Coturnix japonica: one gene and its partners. The protein of the gene in region 4 purifies or fractionates together with the protein of the main gene of each other region. This does not show direct contact. Links are inferred from orthologs where the notes say so. Each region holds a gene or a part of one and is shown on either strand. Other genes may lie near its edges.

What was found.
Region 1: the proteins of NCBP3 (region 4) and ALYREF purify together in Homo sapiens (affinity purification with mass spectrometry; 4 studies listed by BioGRID and IntAct, with this or other methods). This does not show direct contact. The link is inferred for Coturnix japonica from reciprocal best matches to the Homo sapiens genes NCBP3 and ALYREF.
Region 2: the proteins of NCBP3 (region 4) and THOC2 purify together in Homo sapiens (co-immunoprecipitation; 3 studies listed by BioGRID and IntAct, with this or other methods). This does not show direct contact. The link is inferred for Coturnix japonica from reciprocal best matches to the Homo sapiens genes NCBP3 and THOC2.
Region 3: the proteins of NCBP3 (region 4) and THOC7 purify together in Homo sapiens (co-immunoprecipitation; 3 studies listed by BioGRID and IntAct, with this or other methods). This does not show direct contact. The link is inferred for Coturnix japonica from reciprocal best matches to the Homo sapiens genes NCBP3 and THOC7.
Region 5: the proteins of NCBP3 (region 4) and THOC5 purify together in Homo sapiens (co-immunoprecipitation; 3 studies listed by BioGRID and IntAct, with this or other methods). This does not show direct contact. The link is inferred for Coturnix japonica from reciprocal best matches to the Homo sapiens genes NCBP3 and THOC5.

What each region holds. Positions count from the first base shown.
Region 1 is NC_029533.1:4,444,714-4,450,662, forward strand, and holds the start of ALYREF (THO complex subunit 4), read left to right. Parts: upstream 1-2,095; 5' UTR 2,096-2,185; coding exon 2,186-2,416; intron 2,417-2,607; coding exon 2,608-2,739; intron 2,740-4,818; coding exon 4,819-4,966; intron 4,967-5,060; coding exon 5,061-5,124; intron 5,125-5,277; coding exon 5,278-5,455; intron 5,456-5,949. Other genes in the region: NPB (neuropeptide B), read right to left, coding at 792-920, 1,197-1,394; ANAPC11 (anaphase-promoting complex subunit 11), read right to left, coding at 1,536-1,681, 1,902-2,010. UniProt on the Homo sapiens protein: Functions as an mRNA export adapter; component of the transcription/export (TREX) complex which is thought to couple mRNA transcription, processing and nuclear export, and specifically associates with spliced mRNA and not with unspliced pre-mRNA.
Region 2 is NC_029519.1:14,648,943-14,655,049, forward strand, and holds the start of THOC2 (THO complex subunit 2), read left to right. Parts: upstream 1-2,086; 5' UTR 2,087-2,194; coding exon 2,195-2,256; intron 2,257-6,107. UniProt on the Homo sapiens protein: Component of the THO subcomplex of the TREX complex which is thought to couple mRNA transcription, processing and nuclear export, and which specifically associates with spliced mRNA and not with unspliced pre-mRNA.
Region 3 is NC_029527.1:10,989,459-10,995,236, forward strand, and holds the start of THOC7 (THO complex subunit 7 homolog), read right to left. Parts: upstream 3,982-5,778; 5' UTR 3,891-3,981; coding exon 3,872-3,890; intron 3,571-3,871; coding exon 3,453-3,570; intron 2,547-3,452; coding exon 2,419-2,546; intron 2,101-2,418; coding exon 2,014-2,100; intron 759-2,013; coding exon 701-758; intron 1-700. UniProt on the Homo sapiens protein: Component of the THO subcomplex of the TREX complex which is thought to couple mRNA transcription, processing and nuclear export, and which specifically associates with spliced mRNA and not with unspliced pre-mRNA.
Region 4 is NC_029534.1:3,968,038-3,973,819, forward strand, and holds the start of NCBP3 (nuclear cap-binding protein subunit 3), read right to left. Parts: upstream 3,732-5,782; 5' UTR 3,639-3,731; coding exon 3,432-3,638; intron 1,780-3,431; coding exon 1,714-1,779; intron 1,175-1,713; coding exon 1,069-1,174; intron 306-1,068; coding exon 180-305; intron 1-179. UniProt on the Homo sapiens protein: Associates with NCBP1/CBP80 to form an alternative cap-binding complex (CBC) which plays a key role in mRNA export. NCBP3 serves as adapter protein linking the capped RNAs (m7GpppG-capped RNA) to NCBP1/CBP80.
Region 5 is NC_029530.1:9,926,065-9,931,371, reverse strand, and holds the end of THOC5 (THO complex subunit 5 homolog), read right to left. Parts: intron 5,251-5,307; coding exon 5,210-5,250; intron 4,702-5,209; coding exon 4,602-4,701; intron 4,297-4,601; coding exon 4,188-4,296; intron 2,773-4,187; coding exon 2,671-2,772; intron 2,544-2,670; coding exon 2,447-2,543; intron 2,247-2,446; coding exon 2,132-2,246; intron 1,666-2,131; coding exon 1,562-1,665; intron 1,470-1,561; coding exon 1,382-1,469; intron 1,270-1,381; coding exon 1,154-1,269; intron 1,039-1,153; coding exon 848-1,038; intron 574-847; coding exon 510-573; 3' UTR 355-509; downstream 1-354. UniProt on the Homo sapiens protein: Component of the THO subcomplex of the TREX complex which is thought to couple mRNA transcription, processing and nuclear export, and which specifically associates with spliced mRNA and not with unspliced pre-mRNA.

The DNA of each region.
Region 1 (5,949 bases), on a different chromosome or scaffold from region 4:
GTGCCTGCTTGGGTGCTGTGTGCTGCCCTGGCTGGGGTTGCACCCTGGGGCTGGGCCTTTGCCTGCTGCAGGCAAATATGGGGGCAGCAGGACAGGGATGTGAACAGCCATGGGCAACCAAAAGCACCATCCCTGTCCCACCAGGACAGTTGGACTGCAGGGCTGAGGCTGTGTCAGTGCTGATATGAGTTCCTGTAGATGTGCAAACCTGGAGGCTGAGTCTCAGCAGTGGCAGTGCTGGTGTTGCTGGGGGTCAGTGTGTGGCTTCCCCTGACCTCAGCCCAGAGCATCTCCCACCCCAGGGTAAAATCCTTCCTCAGCTTGGCTTACCCTGACCTGTACAACACCCCCCAGCTTCAGATTTGTCTCCTGTATCACTCAGAGAACTGAAGACATGGCAGGGAGGGGTAGGGGATTCATCCTCAGCCATGTGGAAGACTTTCCCACTGCAGCAGCTCTGCTCACAGGCACTGTGCTCAGAGCTGGGCTGCTCCACGCACTGGAAGATCAATTTCAATGGATTCCTTCTCCCTGCACTGTTTTTTTTTCACCTTAAGCTCAGCAGTGGGGCCCCAAGCTGTGCTCCATCCCCCAGTGCCTGTGGCACTACCCAAACTCCCACCCATTCCAGAGGGCACACAGCTCTGGGTGGGCACTGCTGCTCAGGGCACCCCTGTGTGCCCCAGATCCTGGTGGGCTCCCCCCAACCCCAAAGGCTTCCCTCCCCTTAAGGACAGACAACATCTTTCCATTCCACGTGCATTTATTGTCACTATAGTCACCGTGCCACCTCAGGCCCCCCCACACTCTGTGGAGCCCAAGGACACGGTTACAGCCACACTGCACTGCAGAGCACCGGGGACTCCCGATAGCAGCCGACAGCTCCGTAGCTTGGGGTCCACATCCATCACACACGGCACCTGTGGGGAAAGTATCACAGAGATTCCTGGGTGGGAACTTTGGAGCAGGGCTGCCCGCGGAGCCGGGCAGGTGGGTGTTCCTGGTATCAGGGCATTGCTGGGATCTGGGCGTTGCTGGGATCAGGGCATTGCTGGGATCAGGGCATTGCTGGGATCAGGGCATTGCTGGGATCTGGGCATTGCTGGGATCAGGGCATTGCTGGAATCAGGGCATTGCTGGAATCAGGGCATTCCTGGTACCAGCCCGTTCCTGGAGCGGAGCATCCCGGTACTCACCGCGGTGCGGAGCGGAGCAGCGGCACCTCTGCTGTCGGAGCGGCGGCTGTAGGGCAGGCGGCGGAGACCGGAGAGCAGCCCCGAGGCTCTGCCCACCGGGTAGGAGAGCGGAGCGGCCGCCTGCCGGTACCAGGGCGCGGCGGGGCGGCACAGCAGCATCACGGCTACAGCCAGAGTCAGGCAGCGGGCGGCTCGCATCGTGCCGGCGGGGGCGCAGCGCTGCGGAACGGCCGCTCCGGGTCTTTATGGCCGCGGCCGCCCCCGCCGCGCAGCACGAGGGAAAGCGCCGCTCCCCGCCCACGGAACCGGGACCGGAGCGGCGGGAGGAGGCGGGGAGGATCATTCCTTGAACTTCCACTCCTGGCGGCACATGGGGCAGTGCTGCTGGACCTGCTGCGAGTGCAGCCACTTGAGGATGCAGTGCATGTGGAAACAGTGCGAGCACTGCCCCCACACCAGCGGGCAGTCGTCCCCGGGCACTTTGCCTGCGGCGTGGACACAAAGTCAGGAAGGGCCGGGTCGCACCGGACCGGGTACCATACCGGGTACAGTACCGGGTACGGGACCGGGTACCGGACCGGGTACGGGACCGGGTACCATACCGAGTACCATACCGGGTACCGGACCGGGTACCATACCGGGTACCATACCGAGTACCATACCCGGTACCGGACCGGGTACCGTGCCGGGCCCCGCCGCACTCACAGTCGGGGCAGCAGCCGTTGAAGGCCATGCGGCAGATCCCGCAGTTCTCGTCGTTCGCCACCCACAGCCACGAGGCGACTCCGCTCCAGCTCCGCACCTTCACCCTCATCGCCGCCGGAAGTGCCGCTCTCCGGTCCGCGCCGCCCCGCCGGAAGTACCGCCCGCCGCCCCCACGAGGCCCCGCCAATCTGAACGCGCGCCTCCGCCCGCCGGTCCCGCCTCTTCCGCTTCCGGCGTCGGCGCAGCGCGGCCGGAAGCGCAGGCCCCGGAGCGGAGCCGCCATCATGGCCGACAAGATGGACATGTCCCTGGACGATATCATTAAGCTCAACCGAAGCCAACGCGGCGGCGGTCGGGGCGGCGGCCGGGGAGGCCGGGGCCGAGGCGGCGTCACCCGCGGGGGCGGGCCCGGTCGGGGCGGCGTGGGAGCCGGGCGAGCGGGCGGCGGCCCCGTGAGGAACAGGCCGGTGATGGCCCGGGGCGGCGGCAGGAATCGGCCCGCGCCGTACAGCCGGGTACGGGACGGGGGCGGGGGCGGAGCCCGGTCGGCGGGGCCCGGAGGGAGGGGGCCGGTGTGCGGGGCGGGGGGCGGCGGTTCGTGGACGGGGCGGGGGCGGTGGGACGGGCGGCCCTTTGTCCGTTGCCGGCGGTCGAGCCGTCCCGGCGGGACCCGGCGGCGCTCAGCGAAACGTCCGTGTCGTTCCAGCCGAAGCAGCTCCCCGAGAAGTGGCAGCACGATCTGTTCGACAGCGGCTTCGGGGCCGGCGCCGGGGTGGAGACCGGCGGGAAGCTGCTCGTCTCCAACTTGGACTTCGGCGTCTCAGATGCGGATATCCAGGTACGGGCTCGGCGCTGTTCCCGGGGGGTTTCATTCATTCCATCGGTGCTGGGTGCTGGGGGTGGCCATAGAGCATTGCTGGCCCTGCTCCCATTGGAAGGGCCCTTCACACGGTGCCTGGCCCTTTGCTTCACGCACTGCTGGGGCTCTGAGCTGAGCAGTTGGAGTGGCTGGATTCAGAAGAGTCCCAGTCTTTATGGAGCTGTAGGTAATCACATATGAAATATCTCTACCACGATGCTGTGGGGGGGATGTTGCCTTCGCTCAGTCCTGCTGTGATTGCAGAGCTTAGCACAGGCTGTGTGAGCTTTTAAGGTCTGTGTAATTCCAGACGTTCAGTAGCTCTATATATACATCTATTGGCGCTGTTTTCATAGTACCTGTTTATGTACTTTTTGTTAAAGTTTTGTTCAGTCTCAAGGTGTTCTTATAGAAGCACCAGTGATATTGAGAAGTCTGGTCTGTGAGGGGGTACCTGCTCGCTCATGTTGTCATTTCCACAATTACCACATGTATCTTATGACAGATAAATGTTCTAGCTGAGTTACCAGCTGCAGCTCAATCCCTTGTTCCAGCTGTGCCCTGGGTGCAGGCTGTTTGCAGTCACTGTGCCTGTGACACAGCAGTCACAGCTGTGGGGCTGCTCTTACTTGTGGGCAACAAGTTGTGCAGAAACATCTGCAGATCCAAGGAGCATCCAATCTGAAGGGTTTTCCTGACTTAGTCACATTGCAAAGAGCTTTGGATGGTTTCTGGTCCTTGCATCTCCTCTAGAAAAAAATAACTAAATCACTTCTATGTTTTCTTCTGTTAATTCATTCCGGTTCAACCTGTCTGCATCAGGAGTATTGGAAGTGAGCTTTTTTAGGTCACCTAGTTATTGAGCGATGCACTTAAAACCACTGTTTTTTCCTCAAGTGAGTTTAGTTTCAGTTGATATACATTTCCTGTTTGCTGTAATCAGGCCCAAACGTGTAAAAGTGAATCTGTAAAGTTATCTCAATGTAAGGAATTAATGTGTTTTGTGTGGCAGTTGAATGTTTCCTTTTCACAGTTGGCTTGAACTGCAGGAGCAGACAAACATCTGTGTATATTATATGTAGCAGCAAAGCTGACTTAATGGGTTTGTACCTCTTTGTTACTGCCCATCCCGTAATTTTCCACTAAGCTGCACTGATTGTTTTCTTTGTTTCTGTGCTGATTGTGTCATTAATATGGTTCTGCTCAGCTCAGTGCTGAGGAATGAGGGGCTTGGTGGGAGCCTCGTTCACGTTGCTCTTGTAGGAGTATGTGTGGTGCTGTGGCTCCAGCTTCTCTGCAGGACAGGGATGTGATGGAGCACCTCTCCTCCCATGTGGTGCTGTCTTCCAGAAAGCTTGTTGGGTGCTGTATGTTCATGTTTAGTAAATGGACACAGTAGAGAAACTCACTGACAGGCTTGCATAAAGTGCAGCTGGCTTAAGAAGTGAAAATATTTATATGCTCCTTTCAAATGCTTGGATAGGAATTATAGAGATGGCTGGAATAGTGTTTGGGCTCTGCTGCAGGTGATATGGAAGGCAGCCTGTGGTGTCTGCTTTGGACACCTGACAATTCTGTGTGCTTCAAACATTTGAAGAGTGGGGTGTAGGTATAAACTTGCAAAGTAGTGAGATGTCCCCAGATGTACATCTTAGATGTAGCCTCTGTGAAACAAAATGGGTGGCTCCACTGTTGCAGCCTTCCATCGCTCGTGATGGTAAACGATGCTCTTCAGTAGAAGATTTCCTGCTTTCAGTTTATACAGACTGGCAATGTCCCTGGGAAGAGGAGCAGGTCAGCATACCTTGGGGCCACTTTGTTGGCTGTATACAAGCACCCTTCAAGTGGTGGATATGAAATCCTGTTTGTTTCTGCCACCTGTGGCTGCTTTCTGGAAGTCTTTAGTGGCCTGTGTTCCTTCTTTCACTGGTGCTATTTGCGTGGTGTCATGGAATGTACATGATATTGCTGAAAGCAGGAGCTGCCTGCACCTTCTCTGGGCTGCTCGGTGTTTGCAGAGCTGACTGAAGCATATTCACTTCTCCCTCTGTTTCTCAGGAACTCTTTGCGGAATTTGGGACCTTGAAGAAGGCAGCAGTGCACTACGACAGATCCGGACGCAGTCTAGGAACAGCAGATGTGCATTTTGAAAGGAAAGCAGATGCTCTGAAAGCTATGAAGCAGTACAATGGAGTCCCCTTGGATGGTGAGTCTCTGTGGCTGTCGTGTGCTTCTCTGCACGGCTGATGGCATCTGTGTGCCTGCCACACTCACAGGGTAACTGGCTGCTTTTCCTGCAGGGCGCCCCATGAACATTCAGCTGGTTACATCACAGATAGATACACAGAGGAGACCAGCACAGAGGTGAGAAGCCGCGGGAGTCGCTGTGCCAGTCAGCACGGGGAGTGAACTGGCCTGTGTAGGAAGCATGGAATCCTCCTCGTGTCCTGCAACCTTCTGAGTGCCTGTTGGGGTTAACCAGAATGCACTATAACAGTTGCTTTTTAAAAATCACAGTGTAAACAGAGGTGGAATGACCAGAAACCGTGGTGGTACAGGAGGATTTGGTGGTGGAGGTACCAGGCGAGGTAGTCGTGGTGGGAGCAGAGGGAGAGGCAGAGGGGCTGGAAGAACTTCCAAACAGCAGCTCTCTGCAGAAGAACTAGATGCACAGCTGGATGCTTACAATGCCAGGGTAAGTGCTGCTCACATGATGGTCACGGGTACCTACAGCGTCCTTTTGATAAACACTGGCAGCTGGCTGGAAAGAGAAATTGTTTTTCAGGTCATTTGACTTAAATAGCCTCCCTCTAAAGCTGAGCATTGCCCTGTTCCTTCAGCTGCCTTAGCTCTCCACATCTACTGTTACTCATGAGTAATAAATAGCCCCTTTTCCAACTTCTCCTGGCTTGTTGAAGCCTGTGTCAACCAGAATTGGCAGTAATCAAGATGTGTGATGAACGAAAGCTATGAACCAAAGCCCAAAGGGATAATAGGCTGGAAAAATGAAAAGCAAAAAGAAAAAACACATAAAATAACCAGCTTGGTGCTAAGAAAGGAAAAAAAGTCAATGATGCTGATCACCCCTAATGCAGGTGGATGAGCAGAGCAGTGCACATGGTTTCTTTCATTCAGAATGAGCTCAGATATTGTGCCACAACAAGACTAAAGTCTTAACTGAGAATCAGT
Region 2 (6,107 bases), on a different chromosome or scaffold from region 4:
GGTCACTCTGGTCATTCATTTGCCCCACATCCCATTGATGATGTCTGAGGATTCTTGTAAATGGGGGAAACTCAAGATGGCTGTCTAAATCTTAGAAAGGCAAACTTGCTTTTAGTCCTTGAATGCTTTATATTGCTGTGTATGCAAGCAATATGTGCAATGATTATTCATAACAAAGGCAAGTTTATTTAAGAATACACTGCCTTTGGATTCTAGTCAGAATCAAGATACCAGAAGAAAAAGGAGCAGCAGAACAGAGAAACAATGGAGAGTGTTTTCTGATCTGGAACTGAGAATAAAGAGTCAGGACTGACAGTGTCAGAAATACCTTCTTTGACTGTATAACAGTCTACAAGCTCCAAGTTTAGGAATTTAGGTTTTCTCTTACATTATTATCATTAGACACAGACACTTCCATTTTAACATTCCTGATATCTGGGGTACACAACGCAAATGAGTGCGTGGACCATGTTGATAAGAGTTTCACTCACCAAATGCAGGGTTGACCTTCAAGCCTTCATATTTTCTCAGTATGCTTATACTCTTAGCTTTCACAATTAACAAATGTGAGGCAACTACAGTGTTTACACTACCACTTGCTCACATGTGCCTGAGGTAAGGGCCCACAAACGTCAGTAGCAGCCACACTAATCAGCTCCTGCAAGCTGCATCTACTGGTAAGCAGAGGCAATTTTTGCAGATTTTGGCTTCCTGAGTTTCCAGCAGCATCCAGCCAACCAGTCATCTGGAGTCTTCTCTGAACACATCCCAGATAGGAGTGAAAGGAGCACAAACTGTAGCACTACTGCCTCAGAGTTCCTCAGACACCATCATGGCCACTGCCTCAGACCTCTCATGTGCAGGATCGAGGGCTGATGATGTACCAAAGATACCTGAGGGGTTTTGCCAGCAAAGTACCATAAAGTCAAATACAGTGTTCTATGGAGTGTATGCTACATAAGTGTAATGTTGTAGGGCCATCCTGCAGGACACCCAGCCATCAGGCAATCCAAGGAAAGATGAGCTGTGAGGTCAGGAGTACCTGTTCTCCAAACTGAATTCTTCCTTTCAGCAGCAGTGGACCCAACTTACGCTGCAAGCCTCTCAGCTGCCTTGTCAGTGATACTGTCACTGCTCCGCTTACAAAACTTGCAAAGCCCGTATTTCCTCCATATTTTCAAACTCTAAATACTAATATCTGAGATTCTAATAATGGACTTTGATAGAGCGCTTGCTAGGAATGTATCTACTAGTGTATGTACTAGTATGTGTATGTACTAGAAGACAAAGACAAATCTGTGGCTGGTGGATACTAAGTCTAGTTACAAAAAACAAAACCCTAAGTCTTAGAAGATCTATTTGGCAGTCACTTATGTGAGAACGCTTCTCTTTTCAATTGCCCAGCTAAACAGAAACAGGCTGTACAAGATAATGTTTATTAGGAATCTTGTCTAAATAAAGTTGTGCCTTGTCACACCAATCCATGAAGAAAGTTATTCTAGAGGAAATGAACTGTGCAGACATTTTCTTTCTTCTGTTTTTTTGCCCGTTTACCTGTAGTATTTGTTTAGAAAATCATGAACATATATATGTATATTTCTAAGATTAGATTAACACTTATTTTCTTGTAACTGTGTATTTACTGCATAATATACCATAGCTTTGAAAGCCTTATAGTTGCAATTAAGCTTAATAGCAACCTACTGCTATCCAGCTGTTACCATAGAGCCCAACTGAGGCATTTTCTTTAATGAATTTGGGAAAAAACATTCAGATTTCTTCTTTATTCAGTCAGGAGGGACAAGTAGGTGGCTCAAGACTGCGGCGTGACATACAGTGGCTTTATCGTTATTTTTCACTTATTTATTTCACATATTTATTCCAGAAATGTGGAACTGAGGACGGCAATGCTTTGAAAACACTATTACACCGAAGGAAAATGGCAGCTTGGAAACGCCCACGTCAACACAACGGGGCGTTACGAGGAACGGCGCATGCGCCACAGTGCCGTTAACGGGCCCGGCCTGTAACGTCATACCCAGGGGCGGGGCGTTGCTGCGCATGCGCCGTTGCTATGCGCCCCGCCTGCTAAGGCACAGAGCGGCCGTCCCGTCGTGCCTCGCGGGCCGCAGCGTCCCCTCTGACCTGCGCCCGTCGCTCGCGCATCCGGGCTTCTCGGCGCCACACAGGGAAGATGGCGACCATGCTCCCTGCCGAGTGGATAAAGAACTGGGAGAAAGGGGGCAGGAACGAGTTGTGAGTGCGGGGGTTCGGCTCGGGAGGGTGGCGAGGCGCCGTGGGGGCTCCGGCCTGCGGGAGGGAGCGGGGCTTTGGGCCGGGGGGCGAGGAGGTGGGAGCGGGTGGGAGGACGCAGCGCGGGGCCGCGTCTCGGCGATGGGAGACGAAGCGGAGCGAGGGCGGGGGCCGGGCCGGGCCTCCTACGTGCGGCTGGGCCTGCTGTGCTGGGCCTGCTCTGCCGCTGCCGCCGGGCTCAACCTGTAGCCGGGCCTAGCTCGGCTGGCCACGGGCCCTGAGCGCCCTCTCCTGCTCTGGGCCGGGCCGCGGATGTGGGGCGTCTTATAATATTCTTTTCTCACCGGCCCCGCGATGCCGATCTCGTTGGTGGAGGGTTTAACCGTGGATTCGATCTTTCTGCCCGTTCCCAGGTGCCTGGTGCTGTGCCCCTTTAGTTGTGGCTTGGTAGGGGCAGCCGTTGCTAGTTATCATAGGGAAGAATTTCTGAGCACCAAAGGGGCTGGATGTAGCTTCCCACATCAATCCAGATGTGCTGTGGGCTTGTTTTTCAAGGCCTTCTATCTGTGTCTATAGCAGTTTCTGGTCTGGCTGTTTGCTCACACGTCATTCACCAGGTTGTCAGTTTTCTGTCACTGCATCAGTGTCAACAAGGGCGACCAATTTACTGTGTTCTCTTAAATGATCTTATCTTGGCTTTTCTATTTGCTTCAGCTCTTTGTTATAACCGAAAAAGCTCTGTAGCTTCAAATATAGCTATTTAGGGGATTGCTTTATGGGAAACACTTGGTGGTATTTTTGCTCCTTTTGTTATTTTCTTTTGTTCATGTATTTTAAAAGATTCTGCAGTTAGAGTGATGATTGCCCCCATGTTTGAGGTAGAGAATGAACATGGAGACTCTGCATACAACTCTGTGTTCCCCAGACCTTCTGCTTTGTAACGAAGGGGCCCTCTGATAGCTGTGTCACTGCTGTGCTTGAATTGTTCTGGAGTTAACGTGTTTCAATACATGTGATACAAGGCCAAAGGAAGTCTGTTCAGTTCCTGAATTTTAAACAATAAAAACATAAGTGTTCAGGAGCCCCCACGTAGTGCTGAGGTTTGCACTGACTTCATAGCAATGACTGCACACCAACAGCTGGACAATCCTTAGGGCAGTTATATTAGTGACATTCCTGTACTGTGGCCCTTATGCCAAATGAAATGCACCGTTTCTGATGTGGTGTTAACAGTAGCTTGGGAGAAAAGCCATCACTTCTAAAGGAAGTGTGACTACAGCTGGATAAGAGTTGCCAGCTTTATGAATGTGAAATATGCATGGCATTATTTTCTAGGCACAAGTAAATGCATCTGTAGCCACTATTCTAGACAACTTTGTAAGCATATTTTCTGGGGGGGGGGGGCTATTTTTAAATGCTAAAGTAAAAGGTAAGTAGATGTAGTGATGCTTCTTGCTTTACTGACTTGGTAACTTAAAACAAAGCCCCAGAAATATAAATTAAATAGAAATATTTTTTTTACTGGAATATCATACAGGACCTGATTAGATCAGCCTGGGTCGGTGTTTTGGCAGCACACTGAAAAAAGTCAATTATTTGCCTTTAGTGTTTTGGCTTGCTTTGCAGTTACTAATGAATGCTAAAGGTGATTGCTGGTGTGTTTTCTTACATAGACCTGAATAGTGTCGTAGTGGTCTGTCTATGATGTAAAACGTACAGGATTTAAAATATGACTGTAGTATTTTGGATGTCCTGTTATTAAAAAAGAGAAAAAAATTACTTGTAAAGAAAACAAAAAGCAGAGTTGTTTCTAAGGAAATGCAGTAATAAAATCAGTTTTTGACTGACTATCTTCTATGTTTTCTTTATCTCCCATGGAAGATAGTGAATTTTATTTTATTGATGTGATCACTTTGTCCTCGTAGTTTGGCAGTAATGGCCCAAACCCTAAAGATGAGGGGTTTGTGTGTGGCCTGGAATGTCCCAGGGTAAGGTGAATGGGTATGAATAGGGAAGGTGGCATTCTGGAGCTTCCGTTATAGAGACTGTGCACCCCTTGGAAACTGTTGAGCTCCTCCAATTTAATGAACCCAGCTGCCAATGTGTAATAATATCTAATATGGATACATGAACGTAGATCGTGCGCTAGTTTTGAAGATTTTTAGTTAGTGTTTTCTTTTTGTTCAGGTCCTTTTCTGTCTAAATACACATCATTTAAATTGTATTTGTTTTGCTACTGCAAGATGCTGTGTGGAGGTTGAGTTGGCATGTGTGCCAATCGGTCTAGAATCCTATTTGTATATACACATACTGTCCTTTTGTATTGAACTAGTGTTGTTTTCTATAGTCCCTTCCACAGCAAGATGCTGCAGTATGGCTATGGCATGTAGGAACATTGATTAAGCGCTTGTCATTGCATGTGTATTATGGAATTGCTTTTGCTTGTTTTTTTTGTGTGTGTGACAGATAAAACAGACTGAAGATCCTTCAAGGGATAAGCAGGACTTCAGTGGTGTTCTTGGATGGCCATTTATACTATGTGTTAAACTACAGGATGAACTGAGGAAGCTCACTGTTCAGTGAATTGAGATTTTGAGACACGATCTTTCTGACCCTCCCACAGTGTTTGTTATTTTATGTGCACGAGGTGTGTCATAGTGCTGAGTAGCAATTAGAGGGCTGAGAGTCAGGAAAGCAGCCTTCAGCTGTAGTTTGGCCATCACGACTGCAAAATGCAGTTGTGTGTTTCAGCTCAACGGAAGAGCCACCTGAATTAGTTAAGTTATGCATATACCTCAATATTTGCAGTCACGTGTGCTTTATGGTAACTGCCATATGCTATGTGTGAGAGTGTAATTGTGTATGTAGGATGTTGTGTGTGAATTGGGAGGCTTGGGTTTGACTCCTGGCTCTGTTGTGCAAAGTAGTTGTGTTGAGCACTACAGAACTTTGGAGCTGTTATTTAAACAAACATAGCCCTGTCTTCATCCGAAACAACTTTTTTTAATATTTCAGCACTGGTTCTTTTTGTGGTTGCTCTGTAATGTTTACTTCCTGGCTTATTCTATACTCAATTTGCACATCAGATTTATCACATAATTTATACTCCTGTGGAATGTAGTAGAGTAGGGAAGTTCCTCATCCTAAACTCGCAGAAATGAGCTTAGTCATAAACCTTTTACGTTTGGACTATTGAACTGAAAGTTGCACCTGGTAAGTTTCCATTTTCTGGGCTTTAAGTGGGAAAATATTGTAGTTATTTTTCCTTGGTTGGTTGATCATGCAGGTATTGATGCCTGGTATTCTTGTGTAAGAATGTTTTGATTTTTATCTTCTGTACTCAGCTAAGACCAGATGAACTGATCTCATGGCTTTTTGGTACTGGTTGAGAGGGCTTCTGCCTTGTCTTCCTTATTGTTCCCTATACACTGGTGTCTGACTTCTTGATGAGCTGATCATTCTGTAGAATGAGAGGTTTCACCGTACTGGTATTTGTTTACTGAGCTTATAAACAATTCCATTAGAGATTTCTTTTTACCATGGCATCATTTTTTGCTCAGGTTGCATGTTTCTTATGACTGTATCCTGTTCATGTATAAAGCTAACAGTGTTCCAGTTGTGTTTAAAGGGTGCGTATGCCTTGCAGTTGCATAATATTATTGTTTGATTGTTGGTACAGTTGTTTAGTGCTGCTGGAGAGGTAATAATATGTGCAGGATACAAATAGGAAGAGCAATGGATTGCTACCAAATACTTATTTATCATTTATTTTTCCATAATAGTAATGGCACATACTTGTCTTGTTAGACAACATTAAAGAACTGGTCAAGTACAAGACTGTAGACTTAGTATCT
Region 3 (5,778 bases), on a different chromosome or scaffold from region 4:
GTAAAGAAGAACAAACTTGTAGATGCTATGAATCCTGGAATGTTTCTGTGGCTTAATAGTATTCAAAAGATGATCTCCTCGTGATTGCTCAAAATGACTCAAAAGCACAGGTAGTGATCCAAACCCAGCTGTGACATGTAATACAGGAGGTTATATGCAGGACGAGTTGGACAACAGGTAGGTCTTACCTACGTGTCAGGGCAAGTTATATTGTGGTACACAAGGTAGTAATTTATAACCAGGCATGCAGGAACAACTACTAGAAGGAAAACACGGAACAACTCCACAAGCTTTCTCTTGCTTTCTCTAATTCTTATTCTATCTTACTTGCCTGTGTGATACACATTCTGCATGATTACTTGCTGCTGCACTTGACAGCACTGCCGCGCTATCTCTCTTTCCTGATCAACTTGTCACTGATAAACTGTCGTGCATTTACATCTGAGTTCATCCATTCACCTTAACAATGGAAAAACTTCAAATACAAAATTATTAGTAATGCTTCTGAACCCATACAGATAGAGATCAAAGGAAGAAAGCTGATAAGGGCACAATTCTAAAATGAAACACAAGTTTTTCTTGCATCAAAAGAAACTATGAAACAGGGAGGAAAAGGTCAAATAGTGAAACCAAGAAAATGTCAAATCTGCTGACTTTTAATTTGCTGGTTTATCATAATCTAATGCAGTCTTATACTTACTTCAGTGTTTCGTGTCTGTCTGGATGGTGCTGTATGACTTTGGCCAATGCATCGTATTCTGAAAGAAATTTAAGTATTACTAGTATAAGTTCTGAAGGTAGCGATATAAGAATACAAAATCTCCCATCAGCTCTTTCTACTTCTTAAAAAAGTGTTTTAATGTTTTCCAATCTCTACATAATATCTTGCATATAACAAAGGAACAGTCAAGCAAAAATGTATAATAATATAATAGAACATATCCAAGTAGATGACTAGTGTTGCTTTTATATATAATCTAATATATATATATAATGTATATATAGAAAAATCTGTGGATAGGATACTACACAGACATTTCAGATTTTTAGAGAAAAATAAAATGCTGCAAGAGAAACAGCTTTCTTCCACTTTGTTTTGTACACAAAGAACAACATGATGGTTATATAGACAGTTAAGGTGGACAGTTCTTGAAGGTACTATTCTATGTACACTAACCACCACATTCAGATGGAAAACGTGGGCAGAACATCTTCAAAAGCAAACACTTCAGATCCGTGCTTGTGAAGATTTAAGTACTCTACTTTCCTACTGCTTAAGGCTTTTTTCAGTCTCTAATAATAGAGTCTAACATTATCCACAAATCATATGTGCATGTGTTTTTAAAGGTTTTAAAACCTTTCACCTGTTACAGCTGGTCTTTCTTTCTTTCTTTTCAACTATTTTTACATTTCACTTTTTAGGAAGCAAAATTTTACCTTCCCAATTGCTAAATTTTGATAAGACTTACAGGGCAATGTTTTAAATTTCAACTAAAAATATCAGTATGTCTTTTAAGGATAAGGAACAGATGTCTGTAATACCTGGTTTAGAGGTATTTTGCAAGGCCATGTAAAATGAGTATGCAACTGGTACAACTGTTCTTGTATTAGGTACTACTTTTCCTTCTAAAGAGCTGAAGGAATATACTTATATAACTTTCAGTGTTGGTTGTAAGCTTATTTAACTCTTTTGTCTTGCTGCTACTAATGTGCTTTAGTTCTTAAGCCAACTGAATTGTCAAAGGATGCTTGGGAGGGTTTCTTTGGCTTGAGAACACCTCTGAGCTACTCTCTAAGTTCTCCTCATGTTACATCACTAAGATTTACTGCCTTAACCTCAACAACCAAACTTTCAGCAGTCTGTGTGGAACCTACCAGATAATGCTCTATGTAGCATCGATGGAGAGCATTTTCTTCTGAGTTTTCAAGAAATATGTCATCTGTTTTCCAGTACAATGTATTTTAAAAGATAACACATTAATAAAACCACCCAGTGTAGATAATGCTGCTTACCCTGGCGATTCTTTCTAATTCTTTTTGCTTGCAGGATTTGTTTCTTGCATTCAGAAATCTTCTCGTGTGCTGCAGCTATACTATTTTCTTTAACAGAAAGACACAAATCAAACAACAAACGCCATCAATCCATTCAGCTAAATCATCACAAACAGCACTTTGTATTTTATACTGCCTGCTATCTCCACGGGCTTCAAAACCATCTATGCCTTGACAGACTAAAAACATATTTTACTTATACACATTTTACACACTGACAAAACACGAGGGCAAGTATGAGTGGTATTAAAATAGTTTTTCTGTCACCCATCTCATGTTTACATTTTGTTTATCAGAACTGACTTGAGTTTCTTTATGAAAGAGAAATTCAAATAAGCATAGAATATTTTTTTTCTCATTTTTTACCTATATCCTTGTAGATCTTTTCATAATTTTCCATCTCTCTCAGGTTCATGTCATACACCAGAAGAGTTTTTCCCATTGAAAATTCACACTGCGATAAAGTACTCAGCATTCGTTGGTACTGACTGTAACTGAAAGCAAACAAGACATTTATTCCTCAGCAGCATGAAAATACCTGCCTGTTTTTATATCACGAGGAAAATGAAGCCTCAGGTAATGTACGGAACAGTTAAAACAGCAATTACTAAAGCAATAAAGGACTTCAAAGATTCAGTGCACAACTGCAAAAAGTACAGTTAAAAATGAATGCTGCACCGATTAATTTTATCATCATAAAGGTATAAAGCAGCATTACAGCATGGGCAGATTGCTCCAGGGATGATACTCTTCCCAACTAGAGCCAGCTCTGTGCCCACCACGATTAATATTTTAACACTCCAGTGCTTCTCTGTGCACAGCATCATCACAGAGTGCCCTCCTGCACTCCAGCATCGGCACAGACCCTACTGCAGAACAACATGTTGCTTAACCTTTAGTTCTTTGGCCTGTTTGTTTTCTTCTTTCTTTTCAGGGCAGTACAGCAGAAGCAGCACAGCCCCCACCTAACAGAACAAATGCAGAGCCACCAAATGGAACACTCAAGTCGTGATCCTGCTGTAATAATGGGACTGCTGAATCGTGAAGCAACGTGCCAACCTCCAGAGCCTTCGCTGTTAGATTTCAGGATGGTTTGCTCTGTAATTTTTGACCCATCTCCAGTGCATGTTTCTTGCCACAGCTCCTGGGCTTTGTCCAGAGAACCACACAGGGCTGAACATAGCAGAGATCATAGAATGGCTATGAATAGGACTGTAATGATCATCTAGTTTCAACCCCCTCCTGTGTGCAAGGTTGCCAACCACCGGAGCCCAGAGCCACATCCAGCCCAAATGGATGCATTTTAACACAGTTTACTTTCTTTGTCTAAACAGATGCTCAGTTTTATGCTCAACTGCAAAGCAATGAGGTTTCAAGACTTAAAAACAGCCAACAAATACCCTTCCTCCTGAGATCCAGAGTTACACCACTTGATGAAACTCTTCACCAGCAGATTGATCCGCCTGTCGTCCCCAGCTCCGTCTCCATCAATGAGAAGCCGTTTGCGGATAACTTCATCTGTGGGAAAAAAAACAACTCGTGTTTAGCGCTCCGTGCTGGAAGCGTGTGGCACGGCAGGAGCTCACCCAGCAGAATGTGGGTGAAATAAAACGCGTTCAATACGCGGGGCCTGGGATCGGCAGGGAGGCTGGGCCCGAGAGGCCCGATGGAGCCCCAGGCCCCGGCACTGAGCGCAGCGGAGCGGCCTGGAAGCGCTCCATGCGGGGTGAGGCCGCCGCGCAGGGGTGCGTGGCTTCCCCGGGGTGAGAAACCCGGAGCGGGGACAGCGAGAGGGAGGGCAGGAGGGAGGAGGTCTCACCGTCGGTCACGGCCCCCATGGCGGCGAGCGGCGGAGCCGGCGGGGCGGCGGCAGCAGCGAGTGAGGTCAGCTTCCCACAATGCAGCCGGAGAGAGCGGCGGCCATGGAGGGGGAGGCGGCGGCGGCGGCTGGGGCCTGAGCCGGCTGGCGGCGAACGCGCGGCCCATCGGCGGGGAGGGCCGGCCGGGAGGCCCGCACCCCGCGCGGAACCGGCCCCCTGGCGAGGGGCGGCCCCGCCAGGTGAGAGGCCGACGGGGGAGGGAAGCGGAGGTCCCCGCGCCCGCAGCCAGGCTCCACCTCCCAACCACCGCGCCCACGACCCCGCCGCCCCCCTCCTGGGCCGCCCCGCCATGCCCTCGGCACATGGCCCTCGCCCTTCGACGCCTGGCATCGAGGCGTGGGGCCGGCGCTGTGGGCTGAGGGGAGATGGGCTGAGCGCCTCGGGTCACGCTTGGGATGAGTCCCTGGTGTGTGGCTTGACACAAGAGGCTGAGCATTGGGGCAAGGGAAGGATGTGGAATGTTGTTCCTGAGGTGTTTCCTGGGGTGCTGTGCTGTGGGTGGTAACCAGAGCGGGTTGTTCCTATATGGAAAAGTGAACCGGTGCTGGGGTGTGCCGGGAGAAAAGAGGTATTAAGCTGTTGGATGAGATCAAGTGTTGGGTTTTCGCCTTTTGGACCAAAATGTTGACACCTGTGCCATGCTAAAGTTGATAATGTTACTTTAAGATACATTGGTACAATAATGATATGTGAGATGCATGTCCAGGCCCTGACATCTTGGCATTACCTTCTCCTCTTGGTTGGACACTAAGTACATGCAGACTCATTCTGCTTGTTGCTGTGTATTAAGAGAAAATGGGTGTAAGGAAGAAAGAACCGTGTCAGCATGTAGTGTCATCTCCATCTTCCTGGTTTTAGAGCCCTGAGTGACGACGGGTTCTTTTGTTCTGGATAGAGATGTATAACAGGGGTTTACATATTACTAGATTGTTGCAAGCCAGCACTTTGACTTGTGAAGTGGCACCTGGTAGGTTCTTTGCGAGGCACTATTGGGAAGGGCTACAGAGAGTGGTCATTAAAGCTCCATCTGGATTGAAGGTATTTCCAGTGTAGAAAAACTGGGTAAATATGCTGCTTTCTTGATATTTTTATGTATCTCTGCGTGATTTGTGAGTGATATAATTTGATGTGAAAAGTGGCGCTTTCCTACCCTACTTAGATCTCCTATCTTCAGCATCTTGGAGCATCCTGGTCTTATCAACACTTAATACTATTCATGCCATTCTCTTAGCTCTTTCCTTTTCTACTGTGATGAGAAGTTGATCAGAACTGTTGGGTGTTGAGGGTGCGAACTGTCAGTTATTTGTTTAATAATGCAAGAATACGTCTGTGTCATTTTCTGCCATTTAATCTAATATTTTCCCACTTATTGTTTATCATTCCAGTGTTGGTCAGATAGCCTTATTCAGCTCTCCACAGTGACAAATTCCTGGAGTAATTAATTTAGAACACAACAGTCCGTATAATTAGTTAATAATTTTTAATGACTTTTACGCCTTTCTTGTCTTCATTGGTGTCACTGATTACAGCATTCTCATAAATGCTCTGTCCTGGGTCTTATGGTAAGAATTTAGCTGTTATTTTTTCATTCTAAGACAGAGCTTTCAGGTATCATCAGTGTTCATCAACTTTCCTGTTTCAAAATGGGAACTGGAACTTGCTAAACACATCATGAAGAATCTCACTAAGGCTACATATTGATGTTAAATCCTGCTGTCTTTGCTCTTCTGTCTTGCCACGAGGTGTTTTGCCTAAGAAGCCAGTTCCAGCTTGCTGGATTTCTATACTCATTGAGTTTTCATTATGTCTTTGGAGTCTTCTTTCAGTTCGCTCCACTTCCAAGCAG
Region 4 (5,782 bases):
TTTTCTTTCTAAATACTCATTCAGACAGTGGGTTTGATTTTCAACACACACTATTAATTCTTAATAAGTCTCATTTGGCTAAGGTTAATGAAACGGAAACAGATAGACAAAGCCACAAAGACATCCAAGGTACAGCTACACTGATATAAAGAATGACAAACAAGATTCCATTGACTTACATGAAGTATCATCTAACCACTCAATGTGAGCAGGAGGATACTCTTTGAAATAGGCAAAGATGTCCTGAGTACTCATTTCATCCACCCCACAAATGTAGATTGTGTCCAGTCTCACTTTAGGAATTGCTATAAAAGAGGAAGAGAGAGAAAACTGACACTCATTTCTACAAAGCAAGTTTTTACGTTCATAACATATGGATTTCTAAAGCAAACATTCAAAATAAGTTAAAGGTGTAAAAGAATGATGTTCACCATTCTACAACACCAGAATTTGAGTTATTCCACAATGTAAAATGTTAACTGAGAATTAAAAAGAGAGAGAAAGGTGAAGGGACTGAAAAACATCAAACTGCCTTACACAGGTTTTTTTCTCTTTTTTTCTTTAAAATGCTACTAAAGTTCTTCCACTACGTACCAAAGAGCATAATACTAATGAGGCCCATGACCAGGACATAGTACAAGTTTTGTGCAAATCTCATGGAGAGATTTTACAGGCCTCAGCTCAGCTGGTCCAAGCTGCCAGCTGGACAAAGGCCTTGGGAACTAACTGGATGCCAAAAATGCCTATCTGTTGTGTGTGCACATCTCTCAGCTTATCTGCTTCTACTCCAGCACATCCAGCTTGCCATCTTACAGCACATGTGCCATCACTCATGGAATCTGATCTTTCTGTGCACAGGACACAGAGTCCTACACTCGCATACAAACAGTGCCTAAGGCCTTTTCAAGGATGTTAAATACACTTAAGGCAGCATCGGTCCCAAAGACAGATCTTGGACACACACACATTAGGTGCCACTAGGAGATAAAACAATATAAATTAAGTAAAGGAACTGTGAGGAAGCAAACAAAGAGACCTTTCCTTCTTAATTGCTGGATAAAATCATACCTTTCTTCATCATGTCTCGATCCAGAGCTACATTCCTTTGGGCAAGATTCACTTCAGCTCGAAAATGGAAGCGCTTTGCTCTTTGTTCCTTTTTCTCAATCGCTTCCTGCACAATGTGAAACGATCCAGTCAAAACAGGAACAGCACAGCCTTCCCAGCAACTGACATCATAAGACTGGATATTAAAATACAACTGACCAAGCAGCAACAAGCTATGTTAATATTTCTCTTATTTCTGAAGAGATCTGTATCTTTCAGAACACTAAAAGAACTCACTGACATGTTACTGTGCTATTTAGTACTTCTAATGCAAGTCTGGCAACGTAATGAGGATCAAAATGCGTAGAAAATAAAATATCCTGAACCCATGACCAGTTTCTATGATGGAACAGTAAGATTTATTTTTCCTTCCTAACAAATGTACAGACTTTGTACACATTTTCAGGTTTTGGACACAAATTTTGCTACTTAGAAATCACAAGAACCCACCCAGATGTTGTTTGCAACCAACATGAAGGAGAATTGTCTAGTTATTGTGTTTTCATAATAGGAAGCTTCTGTGACTCTTAGGAAAGAAATGAAGTGTTTCCTCTTTTCCTGCCGCAATAATTAAAACACTTCAAAGAACCACAGGACAGAAATTACCTTGGATGTTACATCTATTCCAGTAATGAAACTTCCAGCTTTGTTTTCGTATCTCCTACTAGTGTCCTGAAACAAAGCAAAACAGTGATGAAAACTCAATGAATGCTGACTGCAACGTAATCACTAGGCTAAAACAAATCTGGCCTATGAGAAATCCATCCTTACTTCAAGCTACACATCCATACAGAGTCAGGTATATGAGCACTTAACCTCACTGACATCAGTGAGAGTTAAAGCACATCAAATGAACCCAGATTCCTCTGCTATGAGAAACGTGTGCTTCTGCAATAACTGCTGTATTATTAATTGTTCAATTGCTCACATTTTTACTTTGTCTCAGCAACAGGGCAGAAGCAATACAAATTATCCCTGGTTTGATACATGACTACAGACCCAGAGGAAGATTGACAGCACTGACGAACAAACATAAAACTCATTTCCACCAATGGAGACCACTGAAACCTAAGCCTGTAGTGAACAACACGAACCCTGGAGTAGTGACCCAGCTGTGTCCTGTCTGCATGTTTCACAACTGCTTCATTCTGGAACCCTCAGAACCATCTCCTAGGGAAGGTTTGTGACATGAGCAACGTGCCTTGCTATGTCTAAGGATAAATATGCTGCTTACCCTTGTGCTCCAATAATTATTTTGGCTAAAGGCCTTTTTACTAAAAAGTAGGTCAGGCTCGGTTAGAAAACAGTCACACACCGAGCCCAACAGCTTTTCTTAGTAACAAACTTCCCTTAAAGTTACAAGATATTTAAAACAGGAATAGAATTAAACGGAGAACAGCAAAATAAACGTTTTTCAACTGGAAAAAAACAAAACAAAACAACAACCAAACCACTGCTGTCTGGAGGTGTCTGATGGAGCACAAGGAAGTCCATACGGTTGGGTGCTGTCTCTTAGGCCACATATTCACAGAATGACCCGGGTTGGAAGGGACCTCAAGGATCATGTAGTTCCAACCCCCTGCCTGGCAGGGCCACCAAACATACACCTTTACTAGATCAGGTTGCCCAGGGCCCCGTCCAACCTGGCCTTGAACACCTCCAAGGACGGGGCATCCACAACCTCCCTGGGCAGCCTGTTCCAGGGCCTCACCACTCTCCTAGTGAAGAACTTCCCCCTGACATCCAACCTAAATCTTCCCTCTTTTAACTTAAAACCATTTCCCCGTGTCCTGCTATTGTCAGCCCTTTCCAAGAGTTTACTCCCCTCCTGGTTATAGGTTCCCTTCAGGTATTGAAAGGCTGCAGTGAGGTCACCCCGCAACCTTCTCTTCTCCAGGCTGAACAAACCCAACTCCCTCAGCCTGTCCTCATAGGGGAGGTCGGTTGAAGCTGAAGCACGTTGGTCAAGCAGCTAATTAGAGATTAGTTCCTCAAGCATTTTCCACACGCATTTTCCAAACAAAAGCCTACTTAGGAGCGGAGATCAACTCTGACCCACTTTCATACATTCAACCTGACCATAGCTGAACTTATCTAAGAACAGTGAGTACAAAAAATGAGAGAACAAGAAAAAAACCCTCAGGGCCCGCACTGCCTGAGCATCCCATTCACACTCCAGCTCCTCAGCCCGTACCTCCCCCCACTGCCCACCCCCTCCCTCATCTCCCCTCCCCCTTCCCACCCCCATTTCCCTCCTCCCGACCCCTCCACCCCCCGTTCCCTCACATAAACCCCCCGGTGCCTTTAGGGCCGCCCCTACGTACCCTGCCCCCCCTCAGGTGCCGGTCCCTCCTTCGCTCCCCCTGCCCGTCCCTCACCGGGATGAGCTCACGGAGCGATCGCCTCACGGGGATGGTTTCCAGCTCGCCTTCTTCCACCTCCATAGGTTCAGGCTCAGTGCCGCGGGGTTCTGCCATTGTCGCCGTCGCTTCAGTCTTCACCGAAATCCGCAGGCCCCGCACGGCCGCCATGACTCCCCGAGCCCGCCCTCCGCCCGGCCAACGAGACGGCCCAGCCGCGGTGCAGAGCGTCACCTCCCAGAGACACCACAGAGACGGCAGCGCGGATAGAGCGCCGCCAGGAGCCGCTGCAGAAGCGGCGCCAACGCGCTCAGGGCGGCCATAGAGACGGGGAGACAGAGCGGCTCCCTCGGCCCTCCGCCGGCCGCCATTTTCCCGTCCTATAATGATGGTGGCAGAAGTGAACTGCCTTCCACAGACGTTTCATTCCATACTTGGAGATCTGAGGGGTCTTTTCCCATCTTAATGATTCTAAAATCCAATAGCAGGTTGTTAATGTCAGTTATTTTGCCATTGCTGACATCACCCAGCCAACACCTGACAGGAACCACCAAGTGATATATATCAGTGCAGGTGATATTTCCATGCCAGATGGGAATGGATTATGTGAACATATGAGAAGTAAACAGGGCAGAAACACCCTGAAATCATCAGTAGAGGGAAGATTTCTGTGACAGAAATGCTGTTATAAGGGAAATAAAGGATACAGAAAGGATACAAAGGATCTAGATCTGTATATGATGTAGGAACAGTCAAATCAGAGGAGGAAAACCAGGCCTGAATGCATGCAAGGCTTTGGCTGCTGAATAGGTGAGCAGAATCTCTTGATACTTCCCAGCTTTTCATTATGAACTGTGAATTCTTCACAATTAAAGCTGATCTAATTTCATTCTTCTAAGTCTCCATCTCTGTTCTTTTCCACTCAGCGCTCAGGACTGCATCCTCTGCCTATAAAATGTGAACGAAGGAATGCAGGTTGGAGCAGAAAAGCTCCACCTTTATTGCAGCTTTTGTGCTGAAAGGGTGAATCAGTGGTAGTAAACTAGTGAGGAGTGGAGTGTTAATGATGAAACAGGAATCTGGAGAAGGTTCTCAGTCATTATCTAGAGAACTAAAGAAAGGCTGTTAAAAATAATAGAGTGACTGAACAATAAATCTTTCCAGCATAAAAAAAAAGCTTCTTAGAGAGGAAGTATTATTCATTTCCCCATTAGTGACCACCAGAGGGAACTCTTGCAATAATATTCCCAACTGCCAGCAGTTGTGAAAGAAACCTGCTGAAACCATCCAGCTCCTGTTGATGTTCAGCTGGAAACAAGGGAAGATGGGTTACAAAAGGGAAGGAGAAAAAGAACAACAACTCTCAGTCAAAAGGCAGCTTCTCTTCTTTCTTTCTTGGCCTGGCAGGAGTCTAAAAATGATTATTTTTATCATTGCAAGAGACTTCTGGCTTGTTTATTTGAAGACTGTGAAGCACTACCCTGAATGTGGCTGTACTTTCCTGCTGCTGGGATTTAATTCTCAACAAGAATCTCCAGCTTTTTAAATCTATGAAAAACCCGAGCACAGAAGTGTGCTATTTCTGCAGCCATCCTGCAAACTCCATGCGTCACCAGGGAAACTGGCATTCTAGGTTCCAAATAGATCATGACTGGCTCCTACCTACAGTCCATCTGGAGAGAGAACAGGATCAGCGAAGGAAGGATGCTCATTTGTTAAACCATCTGATAAGTCAAACACCTGGTGTTTTCTTATATATTTATAACTGCAGCCTCCCACCTGTAAGATAGAATATTTTTCCATTGGGATACTGTGAAGGTTCATACAAAACACAATACCAAAGCCACTCCATGAGACAGTCACAGGGCTTCCCAATGCCTCACAAGAAAGCAAAGGTGCTGTGAGCCAGCACATGCACTTGCACAGTTAAGGGCAGCTGTGCTCCATGTTTATGCAAGTGCTGCCACATGGAGGCCACACAGTTGAAAATACACATTCCTTTGGGGGAAAAAAAAAAGCTTATAGAATTGAGCAGAGCTGGAATGGAATTGTCTATGCAGTTATCCAGACTCTGAAGATGTTACTCTGGAACTTGAAGCTAATCTAAACTTGGTACCTATTTCTCCATCCTTATAATTCTTAATGGTGCATACACCCACATGCACATTCCCCTGCAGCAGAAATGGAAGTGAAGCAACTTTATCTGCAGGCTCCTGCGGTCAGTGATCTTCTCAGGGTCAGAAACAGCTTGTTTTTCCACAGGGCTCTACTTAACACAGAACATCTCCCTGGGAAGGGTTTTCCAGTGGTTTTCC
Region 5 (5,307 bases), on a different chromosome or scaffold from region 4:
GAAGCAAGAGGGACAGCAGCCTTGAGACGGGCACAGAGCCCCCAGCTCTGCCACTGTGGGGCTGTGTGACAGGACCTGCAGTGGGGAGCTGTGAGGGATGGAGGATGGCACAGCCCAGAGCTCCAACCTCCTGCTGTGTCCTGGGGTTTGTGCCGAGTCAGCTGGCAGGCTGGGGCTGCAGTGCAGGAAGGGCTATTTTTAGGCAGCTTAGTTCCATGTTACCAAGGACCTGCGGTGGGAGGGAGGAAAGAAGGCAGACAGAGGGGACAGGGCTTGATCCAGCCCCCATGAGCTTAGAAGAGAAGGGATCCACAAGGATCAAGGTCCCCACACCCAGCCATCTGCACACGCACATTTCTTCTAATTCAGCATTTAATCCCTTCAGTTACAAAACATCAAACAAGATCCAAAATCATCATAAAAGAAGCTGAAATGATGGGAAGGGAACACTGCGGACAGGGTGAGGCTAAATCCCAGAGCAACGCCCAGGCACGGGAGCCCAGCAGGACTCAGCGGTGGCTGAAGAATCCCTGAGGGTAGTTGAACTTGAATGGCTTCAAGCGCATGGGGCCCCTGGAAGGGAAAAAGGACAGGTTGGCCCATGAGGGTCTGCTTCCATCCCAGCAGGCCCAGCATGCTGGTAAGCTCAGCACACTCACAGACAAGGACAGGTCCCAGAGTGCAGCTCGACTGTGCAGGGCTGACCCTCACAGGCAGCACAAGGAAAGGCTCAAAGGTGCTTTTCTGTCACCACATGCATGGACAGAAATGCCAGCCGGGTCCCTACCAGCACCCTCAGCCCCCTCCAATCCCTGGGGGGGAGGACAGCACAGCCCCAGGCTCTCACCTGACCAGGCGCAGGCACATTTTCTCCTGGGGGAACTCCTTGGGCCCCTCCACAGTGGTGTCGTGGGGCTCTGTCTCCAGGTAGACATCAAGCACCATGCAGAGGCGCTGCAGCTGGTTGGTGAGGAGCTGGTAGCCCGGTTTGGGCCCCCACAGCTCCTTGTAGCACACATTGACTTCACTCTCCATTGCCTGGCAGATACAAAGAGATCAATGTGTTACAAGCTTGGTTTTCTGTTCACCCCAGCCACCATTCTAACCCTTCCCAAAGGTACAGCAGCACTGGGAACACCCCCCAAGTGCTTACCCGAATGTTGTCATCGTTGCTGCCTGTTCGCTCTCCTTTCCAGTTCAGGCAGAGGCTGAAGATGGGCGGCAGTGCAGAGTAACCAGGATTCAGGACCACAGCTGCCTGGAGCTTGGCTGAGCAAGGCAAGGAAGAAACATCAACCACAGCCCATAGAGCCTCCCTGGTGTGGAGGATTCAGGCAGCTGCCAACTATTTGCCATTGCCGGGGGAAGGAAACACACTGACCTGTTCCCCTCTCTATCAGTGCCATGTAATAGAGATGAGTGTCTTCGGCCAGCCCAGCCTCCACCACGTCTTTAGTGTAGGGCAGTTCCTGCAAGGGGAGATGACAGGGAGTGAGCAGCTGCCGGCTGTGAGGCACAGCACAGGAGCTGGAGGGGATACAGCCTCACACCCAGCACCTACCGTGTAATCTTCGAAGGGGATGGCAGCCCACTTCACCAGGCGTGAGACAACCTTGGTAGGGAAGAGATGCTGGCACTCACTGGACACGGGCACCACGCCATGCTCTGGAACCAAGCACAAGGCTGAGCAGGGCAGGCTGGGGGTGAGCTCTCTGCCTGCCCCACAGGTGACAACAGCACTGGGACCTGGGGACATTCTTTTATCCTTCTGACATCTTAACCAGGCACCCAGAAAGCAGCAGCAGCTTCAAATGCAATTCTGCTGGCACTCACAACCTCACAGCACATGCCTGGTCTGCTCCAGAGGTGCTTCTCATGCTTGGGCATGGCATTTTCCTATCACCACAGCCTGAATAAACTCCCAGAGCCAAGATGGCTGGTCCCAAAGGGGTGCTGGACATTGAGAGGGGCACAGCCACCCTCTTACCCCAAACACGGAAACCTCAGAGCCCTGACGCCACAGAGTAGAGGGACAGTGGCAGTGCAGACCCACAATGGCCCTTCAATATGACACAGGTCAGGCAGTATTCCTGTGCAAGAAGATCCAGCCACTGCACACCCTGGCACTCACCAAGTGAAGCAAACTGCTTGTTGAGAGCCAGGCGGGACTGCAGCCTCGTCCGCAGCAGCTTCATGGTCATCTCCATGTGGCTTGCACTCAGAGAGTTGTCTGCAGTGACTGTATGCTGTGGGCAGGAGGGAACGTCAGCACCCTGCCAGGGAGCCAAGGGTGCTCCATGGTTTGGAGCGGGGGGTGCCAGCTGGAGTTCTGGAGTCTTAGGGGTACAGGATGGGACACAAGTGTCCCCAAAGCCCCCTCAGAGCCCTGCCAGCACAGCCCAGCATCCTGGTGGGGAGGGGAGGGAAGGGAAGGAGTGAGACGTGCCTGAGGCTGATCCTTGGGAAAATGCAGGCCGCCCAGCTTCTGCACCCACACATAGGGATGTCCCAGCTCTGTCACATAGTCACTCAAGGTCAGGATGCTGCAGGAACCAAGAGGAAAGGTCACAAACCAGAGCACTTTCTCCTCCGTGAATGAGCAGGCATCATCTGCATCCACCCTGAGCCAATGCCAACTAGAAAGACACTGGCTGCACGTGGTCCACTCACCCCACTTTGTCGAACTGGAATTGGTTGGCTGGGTTGGGGGTTTTCTTCCCATGGTCTCCTGGGTACAGGCAGCTCAGGAGGGAGTCTGGAGAGAGCAAGTCGCTGGCAGGAGAAAGGAATCATGCAGCAGTTCAGGCCTCACATCTTTTTGGGGCACTTGCTAACAGGCTACAAGCCCAGAGACTGGGGATGGATGACCCCCAAGCTGGGTTTCATGACCACAGTGGATTTCCCATAGCTCTGCTCTTGAAAATAGGTCTCTTCCCTGGTTGTAAAGAAACTGAAAATCATAGCATACCATCTCTCTGAGTTCCCAGGAACTGCTTAAAGGCACGCTGCATGAACTCTAAAACTACCAGCTTGTTGTTTGCCAGTCAACAAGCTAAAGTAAAATTCCCCTGCTAAAAAAGAATACATTTCTTCACATCTGACCATACCCAGAAGCCCTAGAAAGCACAAAGGGCTGTAGAGGATCTAGACTGGGTCACAGGAGACTCGGTGAGCGACATCCCTGCTACCACAGTGTCCCCTAAGCAAGGACCCTGCCTGCAAGGGTCTCACCCAGGAATGAATTGGGGCTAAGGGGACTCCTCTACATGATTCATCTCAGCAGGAAGGACACATATCTGCCTGTCATAAATGGGTTTGGGTTCCCACAGGGAAAAAGAACCCAGGAGGACTGGGAAGCCTCATGGGAACAGCCTGGGAGGCAGCACCTGCTTACAGGTAATTCCAGGCCAGCCTCCCCATGGGCAGGCTCCCAAAGCTGCCATTGCAGCCAGTTCTCACATAGATCAGGTTCAAGCCATCCCCGGGGAGCCCACAGAGAGGCAGCTGCATCACTTGCATCGGTGCAAGGTGACCTGTGGATCAAGCAGGTGAAAGGAGCTGCCAGGTAATGGCTGCAGGAGGGAGGAAAGCAGTTTGGCTGCAAGATGGCAACCAAAAGCAAAAGCAACAAGGAGGAGAGGTTCCCCTCCAGCCCTCCCTAACAGGTTCCCAGCCTGCCCTGTCCCTGGTTTTGCCATGAGGGATGTAGCAGATGAAGAGGAGGAGGATGCTTGCAACTGCAGCAGCTTGGCAGGGCTCCCAGAAAGGCCACGCTGCTGACAGAGAGGACACCATCAGGGCAGGGAAGATCTGCAAGGTGAAAGCACTCCTCACACAGAAGTGCAGGGGCTCTTTAGGGCCTCCTTACCATTAAAGGAGGACCAGGACAGTGCCTGGACACTACAACTCTGCACAAAAATATCTACAATGCCCCAGGTAAGGAGGAGAGAGACTGAGGATAAAACCTCACCCACCACACTCACAGAGCTGGGGAGGGACTTGCAGGGCATGGAGGGCTGTTAGCCTACAGCTCAGCAGAGGGACATTGCCACCACACACCACCTCTAGTGCCACATTACTGTGCTTATGAGACACTGAGCAGAGCTGGGCAGGACATCAAGGCAGGGTGACTGCGACCAGCCCTGGGCTCAGCACAGGACCCACACACAGCTCAGGGCTTTCCTCACCCAGCACTGATGGCAGTTGTCAGCTCAGCAGCAGTGGTCACCCTGGTCTTCACCGTCATTATGTTGAGGTTCATCAAGTAGTAGAAGGTCAGGTGAAGAACATTCTCATCTGTGCCAGCAAGGAAAGAGAAATAGTGCTCTATGCTCTGGTTTGGAGCACTTGGTACTCAGTTTCTTGTAGGAGGGGACACACGTTCTTCAGCTGCCCCTGATAGAACAGCAAGGAACAGGGAAGAGAGGCAACGTAACCAGTGCACTGTAACCTGGGCAGTGGGGACAAGGAAACATCCTCCACACGCTGCTCTCTGCAGATCTGTCAGGACCCTTCACACTCCAAGGACTGAGCTGTGGCCACGATGCTCCTTGACCTGCTCTCACACCCTTCTGTTCACAGGGCCACCAGCACCAGCTTACCTTTGCACTTCAGGTCAATGGTGACAGACAGTGGGTGCCGCTTCAGCATCTCCTTGCGTTTGTCATCCAGCTGCACACCCAGAGTGGGCCTGCGTCGCTTCTGGGGGGAGCAAAACAGAGCTGTCAGCCCTGTACCAGCACTCCTTGGGAGCCCTCAGCCTCTCCTCCTTTCACTGCCCTTCCCTTCCCTGCCCACCACTCTGAGTCCCAGTCTCTCTCTGCTGGTCTCCAACCTTCCCAGCTGGAGACTATTTATACAAAGTGGAGCAGCTCCAGCAGGAGAGCTGCAGGGCGGACACTGCTGCGGATGGGATGTGAGCAGGGCAGGTTTGTACACCAGCTCTCCTGTGTTCAGGACAGAAATTGGAAATGCAGCCCCTTTCCTCCCAGTGAACACAGAGTCCCCAGCTGAGGCCAGTTCTTCTTCTTTGGACACAGACAGATTTAATGCCAACACACTTCCAAACACTCTCGGTGTCCAAAAATGAGTCCACAGACCTGTTCAGGCTCAGAAGCCTCAGCACCTTCCATCCCACAGGTGCAAATGGATTTGCCCACACTACAATGTACTGAGAGAGGCCCCAGAAGGGGAGAATACTATTCCTTACCGTGGTCTGCTCCTCCTCCACGTCAGAATCACTCTCATCATCTATGCAAAGAGAGAAGTGTAAGCAAGTGCCATGGTATGGGAGTTTCCCCAAAACCA